4 linked regions of the Drosophila melanogaster genome follow. The protein of the gene in region 2 interacts with the protein of the main gene of each other region in a pairwise test. Each region holds a gene or a part of one and is shown on either strand. Other genes may lie near its edges.

Region 1 (4,949 bases), on a different chromosome or scaffold from region 2:
CCAACCAAAAAAAAAAAACCAGTCGTACCGTCTACGCCCATCTTATGCAAGGGGGGGCGGGGGGGTAGAGGGGCTGGGGCAACAAAAACGCGCTAAGTGCCGTCTATATAAACAAACGCCAGGCGATGATCTCCATTTAGTTGTCTAGTCGAGGGAAACCAAATCAGACGAGAATGCGCGCTTCCATACTGTTTTTCGGCCTGCTGCTGGTGGCCAGCTGCTCCACGATTTTGGCCAGGCCACAGGAGAGCACTACGCCGAGCACCACCACCTCAACCACCACCACCACGACGACTCCGAAGCCTAAAGAGTCGTCTACAACCACTACGACTACGACGACGACAACGGAAAAGCCCAAGTCAGAGTCCACAACTGCCAGTACGACTACCACAAGCACCACCCCGAGCACCACCACCAGCACCACTCCCAGCACCACTCCCAGCACCACTCCCAGCACCACCCCGAGCACCACCACAACCACTACTACGACCACCACTCCAAAGCCCGATGATGATGAGGCCGCCAAGCTGCTGCAACAATGTGCCGAGTTGAGCCGCCGGAAGAAGCGGGGTGGATCTTCCTCGTCCGAAGAGGACGACAGTGGCGAGAAGAAATCGGCAAAGAAGGAGCGCAAGCAGTTGAAGAAACTGTGCAAGCAGTTGAAGAAGCAGCAGGAGCGCAAGCAGGAGAAGGCCCAGAAATCGGCACTATCGGAACTGGCCGAGGCCTTGAAAAACTACAACCAAAAGCAGAAGAACTAATGTGCCAATAAATCTTTTTTTTTACATTTTTTTTCTTTGTTTTTAGTGTACTTTATAATATTTATCAAAAAGTATGCCAATAAAATGGATCTTTAAATAAAAAGCACACGTTCTTGCTTCATTTTTATAATATCAAAATGTAAATTTAAATGCTATACTATTCTCTGATTAAGAACAGTTTCCTTAAAAAAAGTAAGGAAGTAGTTAGCATAGTATTATCCACCTCGATTCGACTAAAAGCGTACCTTATGTTTTGTACTAGACTAATGAACCCATATGCTGTATAAAACAAACAAAAATATGCGCTGATACAAAAGTATTCATTTTTGTCGTAGATTTTTGAATATGGATTTAAACATGAAATGAGCACGTGAAAAACCGACGCGGCAGCTTTCTGAATGAAATCGAATAAATCTAATCAAATTTGTTTAGATTTTCCCTTTTTTATCGTTTCTATTCCAACGAGTAAAGCAACGAAATAGTAGAAAGTACAAACAAATTTGATTTGTAATCGATTTTAGCTTTATTTGCCTGTACATTAGCACTGCATACGTCAAAATAAATCGTTGAAAACGGGAAAAGTTTTTTTTTTTTATTCATATTTTGCGGAAGGAGAAAGTCAATTTTTCGTAGCATAAATTACATATATACATATGCATATCTGTGTATGCTTTTGCTTCCCTGATTAAGCCAAACTATTTGTTGTATCTACCGCAAGTCGCGCCTAACTTCTTAGCTTGGCAAACACGTTTATAAAGATTAATTATTATTTCTAAAAAAAAACACACAGCCGCCAAGCTCGAGCTAAATCAAAATAAAACCAGACCCGTTTTAAAAAAAAAAACCACATATCTAACGCTGTAACAGCCAATTTTACACGGGCAGTTCGCACGGAGGAAATCAAAAATTAACACGAAACACAACTTTCCAGCCCAACAAATTATGTTTGTATTTAATTCGACTTGCTTAGATCTTCGAGTAAACACGCTTCACTATTCTCTATATTTTTTTTTCTTTTGCTTTTCTGCATAGTTGAACACCTTTTTGCTGTTGGCCAGCTTTGGCTTGAGGTCAATTTGAAAATGCGGGCTGCCGACCAAGAAAGCAATTTGCATAATCAACATATGAGAAAACCAAGCGCAAAGAGACGAGAATTTTTGGACAGCGGCGAAAATCGAAGAAGAAATATGAATGCTAATTAGTTTGAGCCATTGAACTCTGCTCGTTGGGGAGGGGAAAGTGGCGGAAGTGGTGTAGGAATTAACACTAGATAACTGAAAGAAATCATAGCATCTTAGCATAACTTTGTCTTTGTCTTCAATTAAAATATATGTATTAATTAAATTACTGGTACATGAACCGTAGAAAGCCCCGTAGAACGCATTGCATAGCTTTTGTTTCTTTTCACAATAAACTAGTTATGATTTTGGTACAGTGTACGCCCTGGCTAAATGGGTCGCTCCTAACCATTCTCCGGCTGACACGCTTTGAACTCGCAGACTTAATTATGCAAAAATCCCAAAGCGAAAGAGGCCGAAAAATGATTCTGGTCGAAATGCCGTTAGCCACAGAGTCACAGAGTTAATATAACCCGGGATCGCAGCTTGAAATGCGATTCAGTCGATCGAGAAGCGAACAAGAGCTAAGATAATGATGTGCGGCAAGGGATTCGGGATGATCCTGGTCCTGATTTGGGCCACGGCCCTTTCCAGCGACCTCTCGCTGGTGAGCGGTAAATTTTTTTGCCCTGTTTTCCTTGCAACTTGAAGGTATATGAATGTGTCTCCCCCCTTTTTTTGTTTCCGTGATGCCAAAGGTCAAACGGTGGCGCCGCTGACGAGCTCCACGAGTGCTCCACCCAAAATGGAGGTCAAGCCCACGAAGCCCATGATTGTGAATGCTCCGCCAAAGAAAGTGCAACTCACGGAAGCAGCTCCGAAAAGCAATGGCAGCAAGCCGCTGCAGGTCACCGGTTTCATCACCAAATCCGGCAACATCTACGAGATTGAGGACAAACGGGGCTCCATTGGCTCCATCGAGGGTCGCCAGGCGGATCAGGAGCAGATTGTCTGCAACTATGGCAACGTGGTGATCTACAGCGATGTGCCCTGTGATCAGGTGAAGAATGTGCGCGTGGGCGAGGTCAAACCCTTGAAGGATGATCGCGTCGAGGTTACTACTGAGAAAAATCATGCCGATGGCGAAGGCGAACAGCAATCGCAGGACATGCAACAGGAGCAGCAGCAGCAGGATGCAGCTGAGGACCAGGATCAGGAGCAGGACCAAGACCACCAGTCCGTGCAGTCAAACCATCCCAGGGGTCAGCAGAACAATCGCCGACGTCGCCGTCGTCCGCAGCAGCAGCAGCAGCAGCAAAGGCTGCAGCAGCAACGCCGTCGGCGACAGCAGCAACAGAAGTTGCAGCAGCGACGACGCAATGGCAACGGCAATGGCAACAACAGTTTGCGTCGTCGTCGCAACCGCAACAACAACAACAACAACCTGAAACGCCAGCAGCAGAGACGTCGTCGCCCTGGCAACAACAACAACAACAACAGGCGACGCCTCAACAACAACAACAGCAACAACAACAACAAGCAGCGACAGCAGCAACACCGCCGTCAGCAGCAACAACAGCAACGCCGTCGCCGTCCAAACAGAAATATCAATCGACAGCAGCAGCAGCAGCGTCGTCGCCTTCACGACGACAACATCTGAATGGGTTAAGAAATGGGTTAAGCTAGCCACGGCCCACGACCAACGGCCCACGGCCCACAATCTACGACCTACGACCTCTGAACACACAAACTCCACGAATAAAGCAACAACAACAACAACAACAAACGAAAGCAACATTACAAACGAAAGCCCCAAATGGAAAATTCACTTTGAGTTGGTCTTTTTGGTCCTGGGGAATCAACACAGGGGCAGTAATTAAAACAAGTGCAGTCCACGATGAGAAGGAGATGTCGGGCGGTTAGGAGGTTGCTAGGACGGGGTCAGCTTAAGTCCGAGAATAACTTTAATTCACTGGAATCGAAATGGATGCTTATATCTGATCCAAGGCAACAGCGGGTGGCATGAACCGGAGATTACTCCAGAAAATATGTTGTTTATTTTTCACAAAAAAAAAAAAAAAAAAAACAAATAGTCAGTATTATTTCTACAACAGTCGAGACTGTTTATCCAAATATCGAATGTCATATAGCAAAGGGGTTGTGGTGTAAACATTCCAATCTTCTGGTAATTAAACCCGTAAAAGTTCCAATTTCCCTTAAATGTACAGACCCTTGAAAAATGGAAAAGCTGGCAAAATATTCATGCCCCGCATATCAGCATGAAAGTGATTTTCGGATTTTCGTTTTGAAAATAAACTCTTTTCCAGCAATGAATAACCAGCATCAGCATATATAATATAAAATGCTTTCTGGCAGGGAACTTGCATTCGTATAACTATGCATAACTACGCCATACAAATCAAGTACTAATATTAAAATGTCAGAATTCATTCTAAAAGACATCTTATAAAATCTCCCCCTTGTTTCTTATTTTTTTAATCACTCCCGCATGAGGACGATCAAAGCGACCGCAGTTTGTTTGAATTTGGGGACCGACTTTGTGTTCGGCGTTGCCAGCTTGTCACTTTAATTGTAACTAGATTTTCGACTCGACTGTGCGCACACACCCTCTTGCATTCAGATATATGTGTATGTACGTAGGAGCTATATATATATATAAATATATATATGATATATATATAATTCTGGGGCTTTTCGGAGGGTAAAAATGAAGGGGTCGCTTGGGGCTGCGATGTCAACGTCAGCATCAGTTACACGAAGAAATTTGCGCGCTTGGGCCCAGCGCACTTAACACATAAAACAAACAACAACACGAGGGGGGCGGAGGGCGCCGAGCGGGGAGCTCTGGGCGGCAGCGGGCGTGCCAGTGCAGAAGGGGCGTGGCAGGTGTGTGGGGGGGGCGAGAGTGCTGTGAGCCAAGCGCGGCAAGAAAGTCATTCAAAAGTCAACCAACTTTCTTTTGAAACACGTTAAAGAGCAGCAGTGAAAAAAAATCCAGTGCACAAAACGATGGGTTGTGGAGGATGGTGAGGGGGGGGGTGGGTGGCTTAAGGACTGGCTAAGGTGGGCAATGGGAAAGGGGGGTGGGGCGGTTAGGGAGCGGACTATG
Region 2 (4,825 bases):
TGGAACGCCAATTAGGGAATTGGTGATCTCCACTTCGAAAAACTCGTTGGTTGTGGTTAGCGATGGCAGCTTGGTTAGCGTGCCCCTGCACCACTGCTCTCACATTGTCGACTGTCTGGGCTGCTTAAGTCTCCAGGATCCCATTTGCGCCTGGGACTTACAGACACACGAATGCAAGAACCTGGCTACGAGTCAGCACAAGTTCGGAACAAAGACTTATTTGCAAAGCTTGAATAGCACCAAGAAAGCCGCTGCCTTGCTATGTCCTCATATTCCCCGAGATGCACCCGGTGCGGAAACAGTAAGCTTTGTTACCATGGCTCCACCGCCAACAGAGGAGCAGAAGCTTTTGTACTCCAATGTGGGCTCGTCGCAGGGCAATCAGCCAAGCTTGGAACAACAGCCAACTGGTGGCGATGACTTTGGTTTGAACAAGATCACCCTTACGTCCATGGATCCCGACGATATTATGCCGAATTTGAACGGTTAGTACTAATATTTATTTTCCTAGGAATATTGTGGTTTAATATTCGCATTTCGTTGACAGATCCCCAAAAGTCTACGGCCAGTGTAGATGAAATCAAATATGCTTCAACGCCCAGCTTCATGCTACTTACAACTATCGTTTTCTTTACCTTCCTTGTGGGTGGAATCGCAGGAATATGCTGTGTGAAGGCTAAGAGCCGCCTGATGGAGGCCCAAATGGATGAAAGTCACCGCAATCATTTCGGCAAGCCAATGTAAGTTTTATCTTGGAAGATGCAAATCCATATTGGACAATTCTAATTAAATGGTTTTGACAGGCAATTTAAACATCAAAATACTGGCAAAGACATCAACCTGTTAATGGGCTCCAATGCCTATACGACCACACAAAAAACACCTAATCTGGATTTAGAAAAGGATCGCAGTCATGAGTGCAAAAACTCCACGGAACATTTGGAAAAAGAGCTGCCCTGCAAAACGTCAACGCTGACAAAAGTGAAACGCACTTACATCTAGTGGCCTTGTGAGGGCAGCCAACTGCAAAATTAGTCGAATTTCTATACTCTAAAACATATTTTCGTTGTTTATGTTGCTGTTAGTTATAGTAACCCCCCACCCAATTTGCGAATAATGTAAACGACAGTCTCGGATGCGTTTGAAACGCATCCGAAAGATAGGAAGCAGAGCTGTTGCGTCTTTTTTACTTAGCTTGTATTGTAATTTAATTTGATGTAAAATTTGCGTAAGCTTAGTTTCTTTGTCAAAATTTAGTTAAATTTATTGACAACGTAGTGTGCGGGCTGCCGCAGCCTGGAGCTAACCCGAAGCATTCCGCATTCCCCTGACGTCGACCTTTGCTGTCCAAAATAGGAGTGCCGGCTCTTGGCTACGCAGCCCGATTGTGTCGCCCCTTATGTGTACTCTTAATGTATAATCTTTAAGTGCAAATATTAGAGCTGTACAAATTTAATCACATATCATGCATACCGAAATCGAACCCGAAGCGGACCAGCCCCAATTATTTCTCGAAATTCAATCGAATATTCAACAAGTATTTTGTTAGACTGAATGATTAATTATTCTATATGAGTTTGTTTTGTGGAGAACTAACAGAATGCGACAGAGACTTTAAAGCTCTATGCTTTGTGGCTAACAAAAGCGTAAAATTGTATCTAACATAAGCTCTATAAGGAATTGAACATAGAATGTAATTAAAAGTACGAACTAGGCTAAGAAACGAAGAAAACTTCTATGAGGCTGTTTGATAAGAACTGACACCGCAGCCCCCACATCATCAGATGGAAAAACGCACAAGAAAGCGAAAATAAATGAACACTGCAACAACAGCAAGCCTTATAAATAGTATAAAATCGTGTCGAATCTAGGCCTTAACGCTAAACTTGTAAGCTTTGGATGGAAATAATGAGCTTGGTTGGCAATCAACGTAAATCAGCATTTTAATAATTTTATGTTTAATTTCTAAGCTGTTGTCCGTCCCACTAAAGAAGTTGCATAAATACAATGTACAATGGCAATTTTATTTTTAAAACGTGTAAAATGCAATTTTCATCGTAATTAATATATTTTTATACGTATATGTACGCCTAATGTCTAAATCTTAACATAAGAAAGTCTTAAAAATGGAAAATCCCGATAAAAGCTATATATAAAATATTTTTAAATCTTACAAAAAAAAACGTAATGTAATGATTTCTCATATTGTGATAGATTTTATTGAAATTTTAGAAAGATGAAATGATATGCCTTTTGGTTGAAAAACAATGATATATATGACGAACGAGTCTGATTGCATGCATGATAATATTGCGTAGGAATGGGTCTTCCACTCGGAGGATCAAGAACCAGAGAAAACCCTTCATGGTGTTTAGTTTTTATTACTGTGTATGTCCTTGTAATGTGTATATTGTTGTATACATCCGATAAGCAATTCGTAAATCTAATAAAGTCGTCATTTTTTTCATAACTCAATGTGGTCTTTTAATAGGTTCGGATCTATGAAACATTGAATTTTTACAGCAAATATGGTTTGGTTATATTTATTGAAATCAATCATTTTTCCAATAAAGGCTAATTTCAAAATTTGAATAGTTTACGATAAAGCCTTTCGCGCCGAAAAATGATCGATAACTTCTGATATGGCTCTACAATACATCAGCCTCGTGATTTTCTGAATAAGATTCAACGGTCACACCAGGCACTACACTTTTGGCGTGTTGCACATTTCAGTGTTTAATTAAAGTAAAAAGCCCAGGTCGCGGTTATATAACAAAATGAACAGCCTAAGGACAGCAACCATGCGATTTGCCGCTCTGGCCAGCTCCAGTGCCGGATCTCTCGGCAAGCGCGATTTCACCCGCAGCCTGTGGCACATGACCAAAAAGCCGGTGACAGCCGGAGGATCCGATCATGTAACCGTGTTGAATCTCCACAAGCCCAGCATTAATTGCACGTGCGGCTGCAACGTGCACACCAAATGTAAGTTAACTCAACAAATTCTTACATGGGCGGTCCATGCCGCCGGTTACATAACCTCAAACGTTGGGTGACGAAATGTTGACCAAAACACAGAAAATTAAACGCTTTGTTTATATCCAGGTGAGCGGGAACTGGTGGAGTTCCTCACCGAGGAGATAGTGGCCGAGCGCAAGGTTCAAAAGGGCAAGACGGTGCCAAGCACCCTGGATGGATTCGCCGTAAAACTGACCGGCGCCGATGTGGAGCTCACCAAGCAGACGGATAAGGAAAAGGTGGTGGTCAGCTTCAATGTGAACCATACGGTGGACAGCGAGGAGGAGCCCGAAATCAACCCCAATGCTGACAAGCCGGATCTCGGTGAAATGAGAAGCAAGCCCCAGTTCGAGGTGGACATCATAAAGGGCAACTCTACGCTGTCCTTTACCTGCAGCTTCCTTCAAGGCGAAGCTCAGGAGGGCGAGTACAGTGAGTACTTTGACAGAAATCGTTTTGATTCACCGATAACACAGGTTTTACCTTTCAGACGATGTCTTCTCCATTGATGAAATGGCCATCTTCGAGGGCGAGTGGAACGATAAGGTCTACGCCGTCGCAGGCGACGTGCTTGACGGTTACTTGTACGACTTGCTGATCAACTTGCTGGAGGAGAAGGGCATCAGTCAGGAGTTTGCCGAAAAACTGTCGGACCTAGCCACTGCCCATGAGCACACTTCCTACATTGGTCTGCTGGAAAAGCTCTCCAAATTCACTGCCGGTGGCAAGTGAATGTTCGTCCCACTTAATCTTAAAGCATAAAGTTGTGTAGGTTTTTAAGTTTCTATTGTCTGCTGTCGCAGTTTCATCACCTAAAACAGTTTTTATTAGTTGTGTTTTTGGTTTAACTGTGACAGTGAAACTTAGTTTTTAAGCCATAAAACATTCATACATGTTTCAGATAAAACTATAGAAACGGTTGCCAATAATTCACCCTTTTCGGCATCAGCTTCGCTTTGGTTTTTAACAAATACAACGTTAATTCCCTAGTTTTTTTTTTTGTTTATTTTCTTTCTATGGTTGCATCGATTTTTCGTAAAGATTTTCCTGTGGGTTGAGTTTCGTGATCATTTAGAACTGCCGGAAATATGGCCTGGGATCGTAGTCACTTGGTCGGTATCCTCCCCAGTCCTCGTGGTTCTTGCAGGCGGCGCAGATGAGGAGAGCGAGGAGCACGAGGATTGGCAGCAGTTGCATCTTGATTAACGGCAAGTTAACTTTAGATTGTGGTGCTGCAGCTTTTAATGCTCCTCTTTATAGGTGAGATTGCCTCACCTTATCGTTGAAATAGTGACCTTTCTCTTGGGGAAGTACTCCGATCTGTTTATTGGGCGATGGGATTTACCATTAATGTACGACCTATATGTGTTATTGTTTCACAATAAGCAGGATTATCAGCGTGGAGGCCATGTAATGTCATACTTTGTCATTAAGATGGATTTTATATATTTCGTTAAAAAGCTTTTTTTTATACGACCAATAATAAGAACTGCGACCATTACCTAATCATAGGCTTGTATATACTTCTAAGAAACTCAAAGACGGATTCTGTCTGAATATAACATTTTTTATAGTTCGCTACTTGAACTTATTTATAAAACATTCACTAAATAATTTACATAAGGATACGAGTCATGGAACTAAACCAAAGCTGCTTCTGGTACTTGGTAGACCTAGGCTGTTCCTCCACTCTGGTGTCGGCGCTGATTACCGGTGAGGTCATTGTGTCCCGGGTTCTGGCCCACTGTGGATTCAATGCCGTTGCCAGGATGCTGGAGCTGCGTAACGGGTCAACTTTTTGTCTTGGGTT
Region 3 (5,092 bases), on a different chromosome or scaffold from region 2:
TGGGATTTCGATCGACATGGGGAGCCGCCGGAGCAGCGTGCATCTCCACCTGCGCGGCGGCCATCGGGGAGCTCAGCAGTTGGTTATAAATAAACAAATAAATAAATAAAGCGTAAACATATTGGATTGGATGGCTGGATCCGAGCTGGAACTGGATCTCGAACTAGAACTGGAGCCGGAACCAGTGTTGCAGATGCTGCCAGATCAGTCGGATTAAGTGATTTCAATTGGATACCCTTAAATAGAAAAGGATTAACCTACAGCTTTAAGTCAAATTCTAAGATCTATGTTCACTAGCTTCATCATCAGACATCAAATGAACTTAAATCCGCAACCGAAACTAATCTAACAAGCTTTGTTCTTAACTCCGCAGCAGTCCGGCATCTCTACACTTGCAGCGAAACAGCTGACTGGCTTCATTTTGTTTGTTTCCAATTGTGAATTTAACGGGACAGCGATTGTCAATTTTGAAAATTGGAAAAATGCTCGAGGCGCGTTTGAGTCAGACTTTGCTGCTGAAGAAGATCGTCGATGCACTAAAGGAAATCATCGCCCAGGGAACGCTGGACTGCAGTGAAAATGGTCTGGAGGTGAAGAGAATAACCCTCCATCTGTCATTTTGTTTCGAATTCCCATAAAAGCTGTTAAGTAGTTCCATTGAGACTTGGGACTGAAAATGAAAAGTTGAGATAAGAAATAAAGCTTTTACAACTCTATATTCCAGCTGCAATCGATGGACAACTCCCACGTTTCGCTGGTGGCCCTAAGTCTGGCTTCGGATTGTTTTGAAAAGTTTCACTGCGATCGCAATGTCTCGCTGGGCTTGGATCTGAAATCCCTGGGCAAGGTGCTTAAGTGCGCCAATAGCGACGATGCGGTCACCATTAAGGCCGTTGACAGACCGGAGAAGATTACGCTCAGCTTCGAGTCGGATGGCAAGGAGCGCACGGCGGACTACGAGCTGAAGCTCCTCAATCTGGACCAGGATCACATGGAGATTCCGAAAAAGGACTACACCTGCTTCATCCAGTTGCCGTCGTCAGAGTTCGCGCGCATTTGCCGGGACATGAGCATGTTCGACGAGTCCCTGACGATCGCCTGCTCCTCGAAGGGCATCAGGTTCTTGGCCAAGGGAGATCTGGGCACGGCCAACATTCAGCTGAGTGCGGGCACCGCCATGGACGTGAGCATTGAGGTGCAGGAGCCCGTGACCCAGTCCTTCGCCGGTCGCTACCTCAACACCTTCACCAAGGCCACTCCGCTGGCAGATCGCGTCAAGCTCTACCTGTCCGACGAGCGGCCACTCCTGGTGGAGTATCCCATCGAGGATTACGGCCACATTCGATACTACCTTGCACCCAAGGTGAATGACCCCGATTTCTAGCTGAAGAACTACTCAACTCAGTTATTGCATAAATTCGAGCGCAATTTAAAGCATAAGGAAAGGGGATAAACGATATTTTTAGGCAACAAATACCAAAAATCATTTTTTTTAAAGCATAGTATAAAAATATAACTTGTAATAAAAACTATTTAATTGTAATTAAAAAAACATTTTACAAATTCAAATTTATATACGAAAAAACTAATTTTAAACCTTGTTATTAATTATTATTAAGTTTTTAAGGTTATCTTAATGTAGATCTCACATTTTCTATTCAGAATACTTTTGTTTTTTCATGTTGAAGCTACAAAAGAAATTAGTAAGCTATTAATATGATACAAGAACGGTTAAATAGATGCTTATAATTATTGTTTTTTTTTATGTTTTTTTTTACATTCATTAAATTCAAATTAGTTTAAAAATAATTGAAAAACAGATAAAATTAAAATTAAACAAGTAAAAATATTGTATTTTAAACTGACCAGTGATGCCGGACCTTTTGATGGCCAGTGTTGTTAGGCGCAGACTGGTCACCCTAAGTTACTGCACGTATGTGGGAACAGCTGACAACCCTGGCCAAACGCAAATGCGGAGCTAAACAAAAACCGAAAAACTTAAAAACCGGCATAAAATCCCACGCAAGTACAAGTGAACAATGGACACCGAGGAAGTGAAGCGCGGCCGCGGACGAGGGCGTGGCACCAGGGCTCGCGGGCGCGGACGTGGCCGAGGACGCGGTCGTGGCAAGAAAATCGACGACAGCAGCATCGCCGACGCCGCAGCCCTGGCGGCCAGCAGCTGTGCAGCCCTGGAGGACAGTCCGGGAAGACTGGACGCCTCCGAAGATTCGGTCATGCAGGAGCTCGACAAGGACGGCGAACTGGAAACGCCCGGCGCTCTGGAGGAGCCCCTGCCGCACGGTGCGCTAGGAGCGGTCGCCGCCAGCGGGAACATGACTCCAGCGACGCAACAGCCACAGGTCCTGCAGCAAGTGCCACCGCCCGTGATGAGCCAAACAAGTGAGTCTCCTCCCCTATTGAATGGTTGTCCAAGATAGTTAAATTGATTAACATCTTGGCTTGACCAATTCCTTGGTATCCAAACTTGAAGCATTGAACAAAGCTATCTCGCTATCTCTCGCCCGCGCAGTCGACATGGAGGCGGACATATCGCAACTGGAGGCGCCCACTTTCACCACGCTTTCGCGCGGACCGCCGGAGCCGATGCTGCGCCTTAAGTGGAACCACAAGGTGAGCCTGATCGGCGAGAAGGTGCTGAACCCGATGATCCACTGCTGCGATCAGTGCGACAAGCCGATCCTCGTCTACGGCCGCATGATACCCTGCAAGCATGTATTTTGCCTCAAGTGCGCCCGCGCCGAGCCCATCAAGAGTTGTCCCCGCTGCACGGACAAGGTGTTGCGCGTGGAGCAGAGTGGCCTGGGCACCGTGTTCATGTGCACGCACGGCGGCAGTCGCTACGGCAGCTCCGGCTGCCGTAGAACATACCTTTCGCAACGCGACCTGCAGGCGCACATCAATCACAGACATGTGGCGCCGCAGCCGCCACCGTTGCAGCCACAGCCGCAGCTGTCAGCCATGGCGGAGCAGCCAAAAATGACGGATCTGGGCGGCGTCGGTCTGGGCCTGGAGTTGCACAAGCAGCGCAAGGCGAGTGGTAGCTATGGCTCCTAAACTAAGCTGTCCTGTCTATAAAAAAACAACCGCTTGCCCCTTGCAGCTCTCCGAGTCGTCTGTCCCCATATCCGTTTCCGCCTCCATTGCGTCCCGTCCCGTCCTGTCGCGGCTGCCACTGACCGGCGGTGTCGGTAACATCGGTAGTATTGGTAGTATACCGCCACCAGGATCCGCCGCCGCCGCCCAAAACGCCATCCACGGCGGCCACTCGACGCTCACGCTGGCCAATTTGACCAGGATCAACAATGCCAATGCGCAGGAATGTCACCAGGGCAAGGCCTCGCTGCACCACACGCTCAAGAAGGGCACGCCCCACCAGTCCGAGTCGGTGGCGGATGCCTCCTACTACAGCAGCGTGCTCGCCTCCTTTGGCAGTGCGGCCGGGAATCCGGGTTCTGGGCCACCCGGCGGTGGGGCAACAGCAGCAGCACAGCCCGCCAATCCGAGTGGCAGCCATTCCGCTGTTGGCCCAGGTGCCCTGATTGGAGGCTCCACCGACGCGCCAACTGGTGGCTCGAGTGGCAACTGGCAGCAGTCGCAATACTACAGATAGGGGGACGAAAGCGAGGGGCTAGTAACCAGGGTAGACGCTTTAACGCAGGCACGCAGGCTTTTAATTAAGTGAACAAGTGTATGTTAAGCTGAACTGAACACTATTAAAGATATTTTACGGGGTTAGGCCAACCCGAACCAAAAAATAAATGCTACTCCGGTTTTAAAGCTTGGGCTAAACTTAATTCTTAATGTAGTAGTGAAGTGGTTATCGTGGCGAACAAATCAGGATAACAATTTTATGAATACCTTTGCGGTTCTCAAGCTGAACGAAATTCAAAAATCCCGCCCGATTGGCGGCCAATCGATGACGGTACGGTTTCCACTCGAGCTGAATGAAATTCAAAAAGCCCGCTCGATTGGCCGCCTATCGATGACGATACGCTCCAGCTGGTTGCTGTTCCAGCGAAATACAAAAGGTAAACAAATGCGACTTGGAGCACAGACTTCGAATGGAGCATTAGCATAAACACAACAGGCCGCAGTGCCGGAGTCAAGTGGCAGGGCCCAGGGTGAACACAACCACATCCAGTATCTGATGAGCACAGCGTAGAACTTAGGAAATCGAGGCCACAAGCAGAAGCAGCAGGAGAAGCAGCGGTTGTGAAAGAAGTTGGCGAGCAAAAGTGAAAGTTGCGCCAGAAAAATGATGAAAATTGTACTCATCAGCGGCAAGCGAAAGTGCGGCAAGGATTACATATCCGAGAGGCTGCAGCGGAGGTGGGTGCAGTGCATAGCTAGTCGTAGAAATCTTGCCAATTTGTTAAATTTGCACTGCTTGCTGCAGAAATATTCAGACAAATAAAATCCAATTCCATTCCAGATTGGGCTCCCGGTCGTGTATCGTTCGAATCTCAGAGCCCATTAAGTCGGAATGGGCTCGCAAGCTGCAGTTGGACCTGGACGCTCTCCTCGGTGATGGACCCTACAAGGAGAAGTACCGGCGCGACATGATTGTGTGGAGCGACGAGGTGCGGGCCCAGGACTACGGCTACTTCTGCCGCGTGGCCATGGAGGAGGCGCTGAGTCGCCAGCAGACGCCCTACATTCTGGTCAGCGATGTGCGGCGCAAGAACGACATCAGGTGGTTCCGGGAGACTTACGGGCCGGAACGAGTCATCACCTTGCGTCTAACATCCCGTCCAGAAACGCGGTCTGCACGGGGATGGACCTTTACCGCAGGAATAGACGATGTTCCCTCCGAGTGCGATCTGGATGATCTGGCCGACGGCTTCGACGTGGTGTTGGCCAACGACGAGGAACTCGACCAGGAGGCCATCGACATTCTGCTGGATAGGCTGCAGCTGCAGTATCGATAGAGCTTGGACCTCTCGGCTCACCATGCTTTGAACAAATGTATTTTTGATATATCACGTATTCCGGTCACAAATAGCGTAGTTAATGCAATACACTAGACAAGAATGAAGTTACGTACCTAATAGTAAATACTCTTGGTAAC
Region 4 (7,808 bases), on a different chromosome or scaffold from region 2:
CAAAACAAAGCGGCAAAAAAGTAGTAAAGCAAATATTTTCCATAAATAACCATTTGGGGATGCGTTGGGCGCCAACAATTGAAACTAATTAAAAAGTTTGACCATGGCTTAGAGCCGAATACATCCGACTGTATCAAAAAGGCAGCCAATCTGAATCCGAATCGCAATGTAAATCGCCATGTGAATCCGACCTACAGTGGCGCGCTTTTAAAGCAAATAAATAAATAGATAAATGACTAAAGGTAAATAAGTACACATTTTTGGACTGCCTGGCATTACTATTTGCAGAGAGTCTACGCCAAAAAAGCACACATTTGATGCGCTCTGAACAACAAAAATACCTACCAACCCAACGCCCACACGGCAAACATTAATGAGCCAAAGCCACTTGAATTGCCTGTGAAATACAATAAAAATATTAAATATTTAAGCACATTACGGTTATTAGAAGTGCACATAAGGATTTGAGTACATATGTGCTCAGTCACCGAAAGTGTTTGATGTTTAATGATCATCACGATGGGATATAGATATCCGAGTGGCAAGCCAAACAATGTTAAACAGGTTAAATATTATGAATACCATTGTTGAGCGAAAGATTTTTTCCTGATTCAGTTTCGCTTATCTCTCAATCTTATCTAACCCATGGTTATTGTAAACAATTATTCAAACAATTTGAAGATAATCTTGAATATGATAAAAATATTACTCAGTAGTGCTTTTGTGAAGGGGAAACGGCTCTATATGACATAAGTCATTAGTCATTATAATTACTCGGAAATGGGGCGATCATAAAAATGTGATTTCTCCCACAAGCGAAATGTTTCATTACATTTCATTGATAATTTCAAAAATTCAATGTCTCAGCGCCTAGATGAAGGCTACAAAAAAGTGAGAGGAGAAAGAACTGCTGCATTGACAAATGGAAAAGTAATGCGGAAATTCCCCGCTTTTCCTCCCGCTCAGGTAGATCTTAATTGAGCAAAACATTCATTGAGAAACGAGACAATCGTCCTTTTATGACACGCAATAATGAGCCTGGCTCACACACATACACTCTCACGGATTGGCACACACTCGCACACGGACACACACACACAGGCACTCGCAGATACACTTGGCCAAGCGAAAGGGTTAAGCGGAATAGGAAAGGCGTCTATGGTTTATGGCCCGAAATTAGAATGCGTTTTATCCGGGACCATAAACGTGGATAAATTGCCAGGATACCAGGAAGTAGCTGCCAGCACGCGCTATCAATGAACTGTGGATGCTTATGTTTCGGGTATCTTAGGTAGGATGCAGTGGGATGCTCGGATGAGATGCGGCTGATGCTGGCCAGATGCAGAACTGGGTCACTTTCGCAATGACTTGCCAAAAAGGTGAACTGCGCCGCTGTTCTGATGATTTGCTGCTGCCGCTCGCGATGCCTCGCCACGAATGCGAATGGGAATGAATGAGAGTGACATTGGCATACCTTAACCTCAAAAGGGAAAAAGCGGTACGGATACGAAAAAAAACTGGCTGAAAAAACACACACAGATATTATTAAATGTCTTGTTTGGGAGCCAAACCCAGCCAAGCCAAGCCAGGCCAGGCCAGGCCAAAACACTCGGTCTTTTTGTTTCTCTCGAAAAACAGAGCGTCGTCGCATTCTCAGTCTCCCCAGAGATTCGGTCTCCAGAACCCGTCTTAATGGTTTTTTTTCCACATTTTTTCTTTTTATTTTCTGATAGCACGCTACGGCGAGAAGGAGAGCGAGCGATTATTGATCGCATTAGGGAAAATCGTTAACTGTAACATGGCGTCGCTCAGCATTAGGCTAGGCCACTGCGAATGTATCTGCAGCTGTATGCGTATCCGGTATCTCTGCCCGTGTATCTCTGTCCGCACCGCTGAGGGTGTGTGAGTGGAGGGCGTTGCTGACTGCGGCCTGGCCACGCCCCCCCAATGGCCAGTTGCCTGGCAACCGGCCCTGCTCTGTTGATACAAGAGGCCAACCGACCAATGCGCTTGCGCCGCAGCACCACTGTGTACGTAAGAGAACCGCCGCCTGTCATTGGTAACTCCGCCAGGGTGGTGGTGAGACGCACTATACCGCCGGGCCATTGGCGAGAACGAGTCGGAGCTGGTGCTGCCCGGGCGCGTCGCTGCTGCCGCTGCCGCCGCTGTCGACGCCGACGTCGGCCGAGGCACTTGAGCGCGGCTCGAACAATATTTGTTGGCAGCAAGCGCAAGCCAAATAGTAGACAAGCGTTCCCCTCTGCAAACAGTCACATTCAAGAGCTCAAGCCAAAGAGACACTCGAGCGGACCAGCAGCTAAAGCGGCAACGGCAACAGCAGCATCAGCCAAAGCAGCAAAAGCAAAAGCAGCAGCAGCAAAAGCAGCAGCACAGCACAGCACAACTCCCAGCTTCAGACTTCAGTGGCCAACAGCCAGCTAGATATTCACGTTCGTGCGTCGGTGTTTTGTGGCCGCTCGGTGCGGCAGACAACAAAAATCCCCATACAAAAATACAAAGAAAATACAAAAAGAATCGAATCATAACAGAAAATAAATATATATTTTATATGATTATCCCGCACAAATAATTAAACCACGGTGTGTGTTTACAAACAAAGCTTAGAATCAGAATCAGAATCGCAAACGGAATCAGAACCTTCCAGCCAACAAGTGACAAGTGCCGAAGTGCTCTCGATAAAATGCCAGATATATGCAAACCGATTGAAGCAGTGATAGTGCACTGAAATCACAGTTGATATACAATATATCAGAGTAAAGCCACGTTTTAAAGACCTCCTTTTTGATTTTCGTTTTAACTAACGCGTTGCAGAACGCGTTGCCTTTTCCATCGATCCACCAGAGGGCAGCGCCTCCGAAAGCCGGCAACATAACGGCGCAACTATTGAACAGCTTTCTGAAGGGTAGCCCCCACCAGACCACCATTGACATCATGCAGAAGCTCTACGCGGAGCCGCCTCCGAGCAGTGCTCCGGTGAGCATGGCCAGCTCGGGTGGCGGTGGTCCTCCGTCGGGCGGCGGTGGAGGCGGCGGCGGAGGAGGAGGCGGTGGGCCCCCACCGCCCAGCAATAACAACCCGAATCCGACGAGCAACGGCGGCAGCATGAGTCCCCTGGCTCGATCCGCCTACACAATGAACAGCATGGGCCTGCCGGTGGGTGGCATGTCATCGGTTTCCCCTCAGGCGGCGGCCACATTCAGCTCCAGCGTCCTGGACTCGGCGGCGGCGGTCGCCAGCATGAGCGCCAGCATGAGTGCCAGTATGAGCGCCAGCATGAATGCCAGCATGAACGGCAGCATGGGTGCGGCGGCCATGAACTCAATGGGCGGCAACTGCATGACCCCCAGCTCGATGAGCTACGCCAGCATGGGATCACCGCTCGGGAACATGGGTGGCTGCATGGCCATGTCGGCAGCGAGTATGTCGGCGGCGGGATTGAGCGGCACCTATGGCGCCATGCCGCCGGGATCCCGGGAAATGGAGACGGGATCGCCGAATTCCCTAGGCAGATCGCGGGTGGACAAACCAACTACGTACAGAAGGAGCTACACGCATGCCAAGCCGCCATACAGCTACATCTCACTGATCACCATGGCCATTCAGAATAACCCCACCAGAATGTTGACGCTCTCGGAGATCTATCAGTTCATCATGGATCTGTTTCCGTTCTACAGGCAGAATCAGCAGCGCTGGCAGAACTCCATTCGACATTCGCTGAGCTTCAACGATTGCTTCGTAAAGATTCCCAGGACGCCGGACAAGCCAGGAAAGGGATCGTTTTGGACTCTGCATCCGGATTCGGGGAATATGTTCGAGAACGGGTGCTATTTGCGGCGACAGAAGCGTTTCAAGGACGAGAAGAAGGAGGCCATTAGGCAGCTGCACAAGAGTCCGTCGCACAGCAGCCTGGAGGCCACCAGTCCGGGCAAGAAGGATCACGAGGACTCGCACCACATGCACCACCACCACCACAGCCGGCTGGACCATCATCAGCACCACAAGGAGGCGGGCGGAGCATCGATCGCCGGCGTAAATGTCCTGAGTGCAGCGCACAGCAAGGACGCGGAGGCCCTGGCCATGTTGCATGCCAATGCCGAACTGTGCCTCAGCCAGCAGCCGCAGCATGTGCCCACACATCACCACCATCAGCACCACCAGTTGCAGCAGGAGGAGCTGTCGGCGATGATGGCCAATCGGTGCCATCCGTCGCTGATCACCGACTACCACTCGTCGATGCATCCGCTGAAGCAGGAGCCCTCTGGCTACACGCCCTCCAGCCATCCGTTCTCCATCAACCGCCTGCTGCCCACGGAGTCCAAGGCGGACATCAAGATGTACGACATGAGCCAGTACGCCGGCTACAACGCCCTCAGTCCGCTGACCAACTCACACGCTGCCTTAGGCCAGGACTCCTACTACCAGAGTCTTGGCTACCATGCGCCCGCCGGAACCACGAGCTTGTGACATCACCAATACCCGCTGGCTTAAGGACGCGCGGAGCAGATGCTGCGCTCGCAGCAGCAACAGCACTTGCAGCAGCAGCACCAGCAACACCAGCAGCAACAGCAGCAGCACCAGCTGCATCAGCAGCAGCAGCAGATGCAGCAGTCGGCGCAGCAACTGACATCCGCTTCCAATACACCAGCAACATCAGCAAAGGCCAGCGGCAAGGCGGGATCGGCTTCGGCCTCGGGATCTGGGTCAGGATCGGGTTCAGGATCGGGCTCTAACTACTCACAGAAGCTGCAACAGCAGCACCAGCAGCAGCAACAACAGCAGGCGGCGGCGCAGCAGCAACACCACCAGCAGCAGCAACAACTGCTGCAGGAACTGCAGGAGGACTCATCGAACATCACCAGCGATCTGAGCGAGGAGCAACTGCAGCAGCATCAGGCCGCCCAGCAGCAGTTGTACAACAACTATCAGCAGTATGCCGCGGCGGCAGGCTACAGAAATTGGAATCACGGCCTGGCTTTCAATGGAGCCGCCGCTCTGCAGAATCTTCTGTAGCTATAGCTATAGATCCCGATCTCCACAGGCAGCGGCTTTGTAGCGGGCCTGCCAATTAGCGAGTGCAGTGGCGGTGGCTTTTAGCACCTGGCCGCATCCGCATCCGCACTCGCATCCTCATCCTTTGAGCACGTGAGTCTTGGGCCGCAACTCGCACTTGTACATATAGAGATACCTATGAAGAGCCGATCGAGAGCGCTGCCTTTTGTGTTGTTCAGTTCCAGTACTATATATTGTAGATTATATAGATTCTGTTCCGGGGGGTTATTAAATCGACATAGAGCAGGAGGAGGAGGAGCGAAAGAAACCGTGATGTAGTTGTAAGTGCAGCAGAACTTTTGTTAACAATTTTACGTTTTGCTAATACAAATACAAAATAATAATTCCGTGCCATTTGTTTTCGTTGTTTCGAAACAAGCAATAACAATCAAAGCGGTTATAACTGAAAATTTGAAATCACATTTTAAATGTATCCGATTAAGGAGAAGATTGAGGAGAGGAGATGTAAAGAAGGGATCGTGTGTAATGTTCTTTCATAAAACAAAGCCCCAAATGAAACAGTCCCAAAAAGAGAGATACAAATACTAAACCCTTTATCCAAAGGCAATCGCAATCGAATTCGAATCGCAAAAGATCAAAACCAAAAAGAAATCTAAAACCGAAATCATCATATTGAGCAGTCCAGCAAAACCCTAAGAATCTTCAACTATCTAAGCAACAAAATCTGGCCATGCATAAGAAAACGACACGTTTTAACTGAATAATTTAACAAATTTCCATTTATATATACGCGCATCGATATACGCCCATGTATCGCAAAATCCCGCATTTCATTTACATTATGTGTCTTCTGTTGTTGTACGAATTCGTTAGATTAAGGCATTTTGTAAATAATCTATAAATAGATACATTTAAGCAACCCCCTCCCCAAGAAACCCAATTTAACTAAGGACCCATTGCAAGCAACCAATTTTTAACTAACTCGAGAATTAATCAAATTGTATGAAATTATGCCACACCACTTGAAAGTAAACATAGTATAAATATAAATACTGTATAGCATTTAACGTTTAATTAGCATAAATAATGAAAGCAAAAAACAAAAATGAAAAAAAATCACATAAAAAGCGAAACTGCAATTATTATTCAATAATTTTTAATATTAGTTATATTGTGCGTAATGAAAAATAAAAAACCAATTGCAAACACAAAACAAAGACCCATTTTTACATTGAGCTAAGCTAATTAATTAAACTTGATAAAAAATAGTCTAAATATAAACACCCACACACACACACACATACTGACACTGACAGACACAGAAACAAATGAAAATTATTGTAAAATACACAATATAAAATTCAATAAATGTCAACGCAAGAATTAAAATCCAACTCTAAAGCTAGTAAAATTAATATTATTATAAATCATGCAAAACAAACACAACGTCAACGACAACCAAAATCGACTATTTTAATGTTTGAAATACAAGAAAAAGGAAAAAAAGTACCATAAATTAGTTTTCATTTCCCAACCTTTGTTGACTCAAGCAACTGACCTCCAACAATCATTTATATATTGATTGGGCCGCCCGGATGGCTGACTATCTCCATCGACGCTATCGACGCTATCAATGCAGCGAATTCGAATTGAACGACCGATAGCTGAGCTGAGTAGTTCCAGGAGTCGCTATCTTATCGCCGTCACTCAGATGCAGAGTGCAGTTTTCCACCACTACCATGCCACGATAAACCCTTATCGCCGTGCACTCATAAATTGCAACGGAACAAGAAGGTAAACAAACAACCAGGATGGGACATGGGACCCATCCCAGCCCATCCCATACCGTCCTATACCGACCCATTCCCGCCCGGACTTGACACACTGACTAACCCATCTCAGTCCAGCACAACCCAGCCCGATCCCTCTGGCCAAAAAGAGCGGGAAGGGTAGTGGATATCTTCTGCCCGACTTGACTCGACTCCCCTCTGTTTGCTTTCTAGTAATATTCATGGAGCACTACGAGCCGAGTTCGAGCACCTTCCCTATCGCTGCAATGGACCTTATCGCTGCAATATAACCCAACAGAGCCTGATCCGACGCAGTTCCCCCTGGCGAACTACTACCACCTTTTGATTAAAATCGGTGTGATTCATTTGGAAGAATCTACGATCCAGGTCCTACGATTCTCGGACATTCCGAAGACATTAAAATTATTGCTTATCTAGAGCTCGGGCATGAGCGTGTTTGACGAGCAGTTGTCGCTTTTAATTAAGCGAGAAGGTCACCATTTTCTATATGTCCATACGACACATTTTATTTATATGTATGTACATGTGTGCCTGTGGGGGCGACTGGACTGGCTTTAATACATTTTTTATAGCCTCCAAGCCGACTGGAGATGTTCCATAAAGAGTTCGCTTTGTTGTTTAGCTAGGGTCGTGCCGTCGACGGTATTGGATTGTATTGGACTGAAAATGGGTACGGCGGATAGGGGATAGGGGATTGGGGACTGTGGGATTGGGGACTGTGGGATTGGGGGACCTGGCGTATGGGCGACTTGGTCTGGGTCTCGGTCTCCAGCAAAAGCGACAACAAAATGGCGCTTCGTTTGTTGTCGCTTCAATTTCGATTTTTCCTTGACATTGTGACTGTCAGCGTTCTGGCGGAGTTTCTTCATTTTACCCCGGCTGGCAAACAACCCCATCTGGGCTGGCTTAGGAAATCTGTGTTTTGGGGTTGGTTTGGCTAAACTGACAACCACCCAATGGTCCCAC

Evidence for each region.
Region 1: the proteins of P32 (region 2) and CG14418 interact in a two-hybrid assay, tested with the Drosophila melanogaster proteins (one large-scale study listed by BioGRID).
Region 3: the proteins of P32 (region 2) and Hakai interact in a two-hybrid assay, tested with the Drosophila melanogaster proteins (one large-scale study listed by BioGRID).
Region 4: the proteins of P32 (region 2) and fkh interact in a two-hybrid assay, tested with the Drosophila melanogaster proteins (one large-scale study listed by BioGRID).

Annotation. Positions count from the first base shown.
Region 1 is NC_004354.4:2,881,096-2,886,044, reverse strand, and holds CG14418 (uncharacterized protein), read left to right. Parts: upstream 1-2,383; 5' UTR 2,384-2,411; coding exon 2,412-2,493; intron 2,494-2,577; coding exon 2,578-3,479; 3' UTR 3,480-3,819; downstream 3,820-4,949. Other genes in the region: CG14419 (uncharacterized protein), read left to right, coding at 174-761.
Region 2 is NT_033778.4:17,670,487-17,675,311, reverse strand, and holds P32 (P32), read left to right. Parts: upstream 1-2,671; 5' UTR 2,672-2,777; coding exon 2,778-2,982; intron 2,983-3,102; coding exon 3,103-3,447; intron 3,448-3,505; coding exon 3,506-3,747; 3' UTR 3,748-4,003; downstream 4,004-4,825. Other genes in the region: Sema1b (semaphorin 1b), read left to right, coding at 1-485, 548-740, 804-1,002; IBIN (induced by infection), read right to left, coding at 4,087-4,212; CG30109 (uncharacterized protein), read right to left, coding at 4,806-4,825.
Region 3 is NT_033779.5:19,579,318-19,584,409, reverse strand, and holds Hakai (hakai), read left to right. Parts: upstream 1-1,935; 5' UTR 1,936-2,039; coding exon 2,040-2,403; intron 2,404-2,506; coding exon 2,507-3,054; coding exon of another isoform or gene 3,055-3,078; exon of another isoform or gene 3,079-3,124; coding exon 3,125-3,634; 3' UTR 3,635-3,798; downstream 3,799-5,092. Other genes in the region: CG10366 (uncharacterized protein), read right to left, coding at 1-64; PCNA2 (proliferating cell nuclear antigen 2), read left to right, coding at 483-590, 725-1,384; Pmvk (phosphomevalonate kinase), read left to right, coding at 4,280-4,353, 4,457-4,952.
Region 4 is NT_033777.3:28,579,698-28,587,505, reverse strand, and holds fkh (fork head), read left to right. Parts: upstream 1-2,241; 5' UTR 2,242-2,952; coding exon 2,953-4,485; coding exon of another isoform or gene 4,486-5,031; 3' UTR 5,032-6,530; downstream 6,531-7,808. UniProt on the Drosophila melanogaster protein: Fkh promotes terminal as opposed to segmental development. In the absence of fkh, this developmental switch does not occur. The nuclear localization of the fkh protein suggest that fkh regulates the transcription of other, subordinate, genes.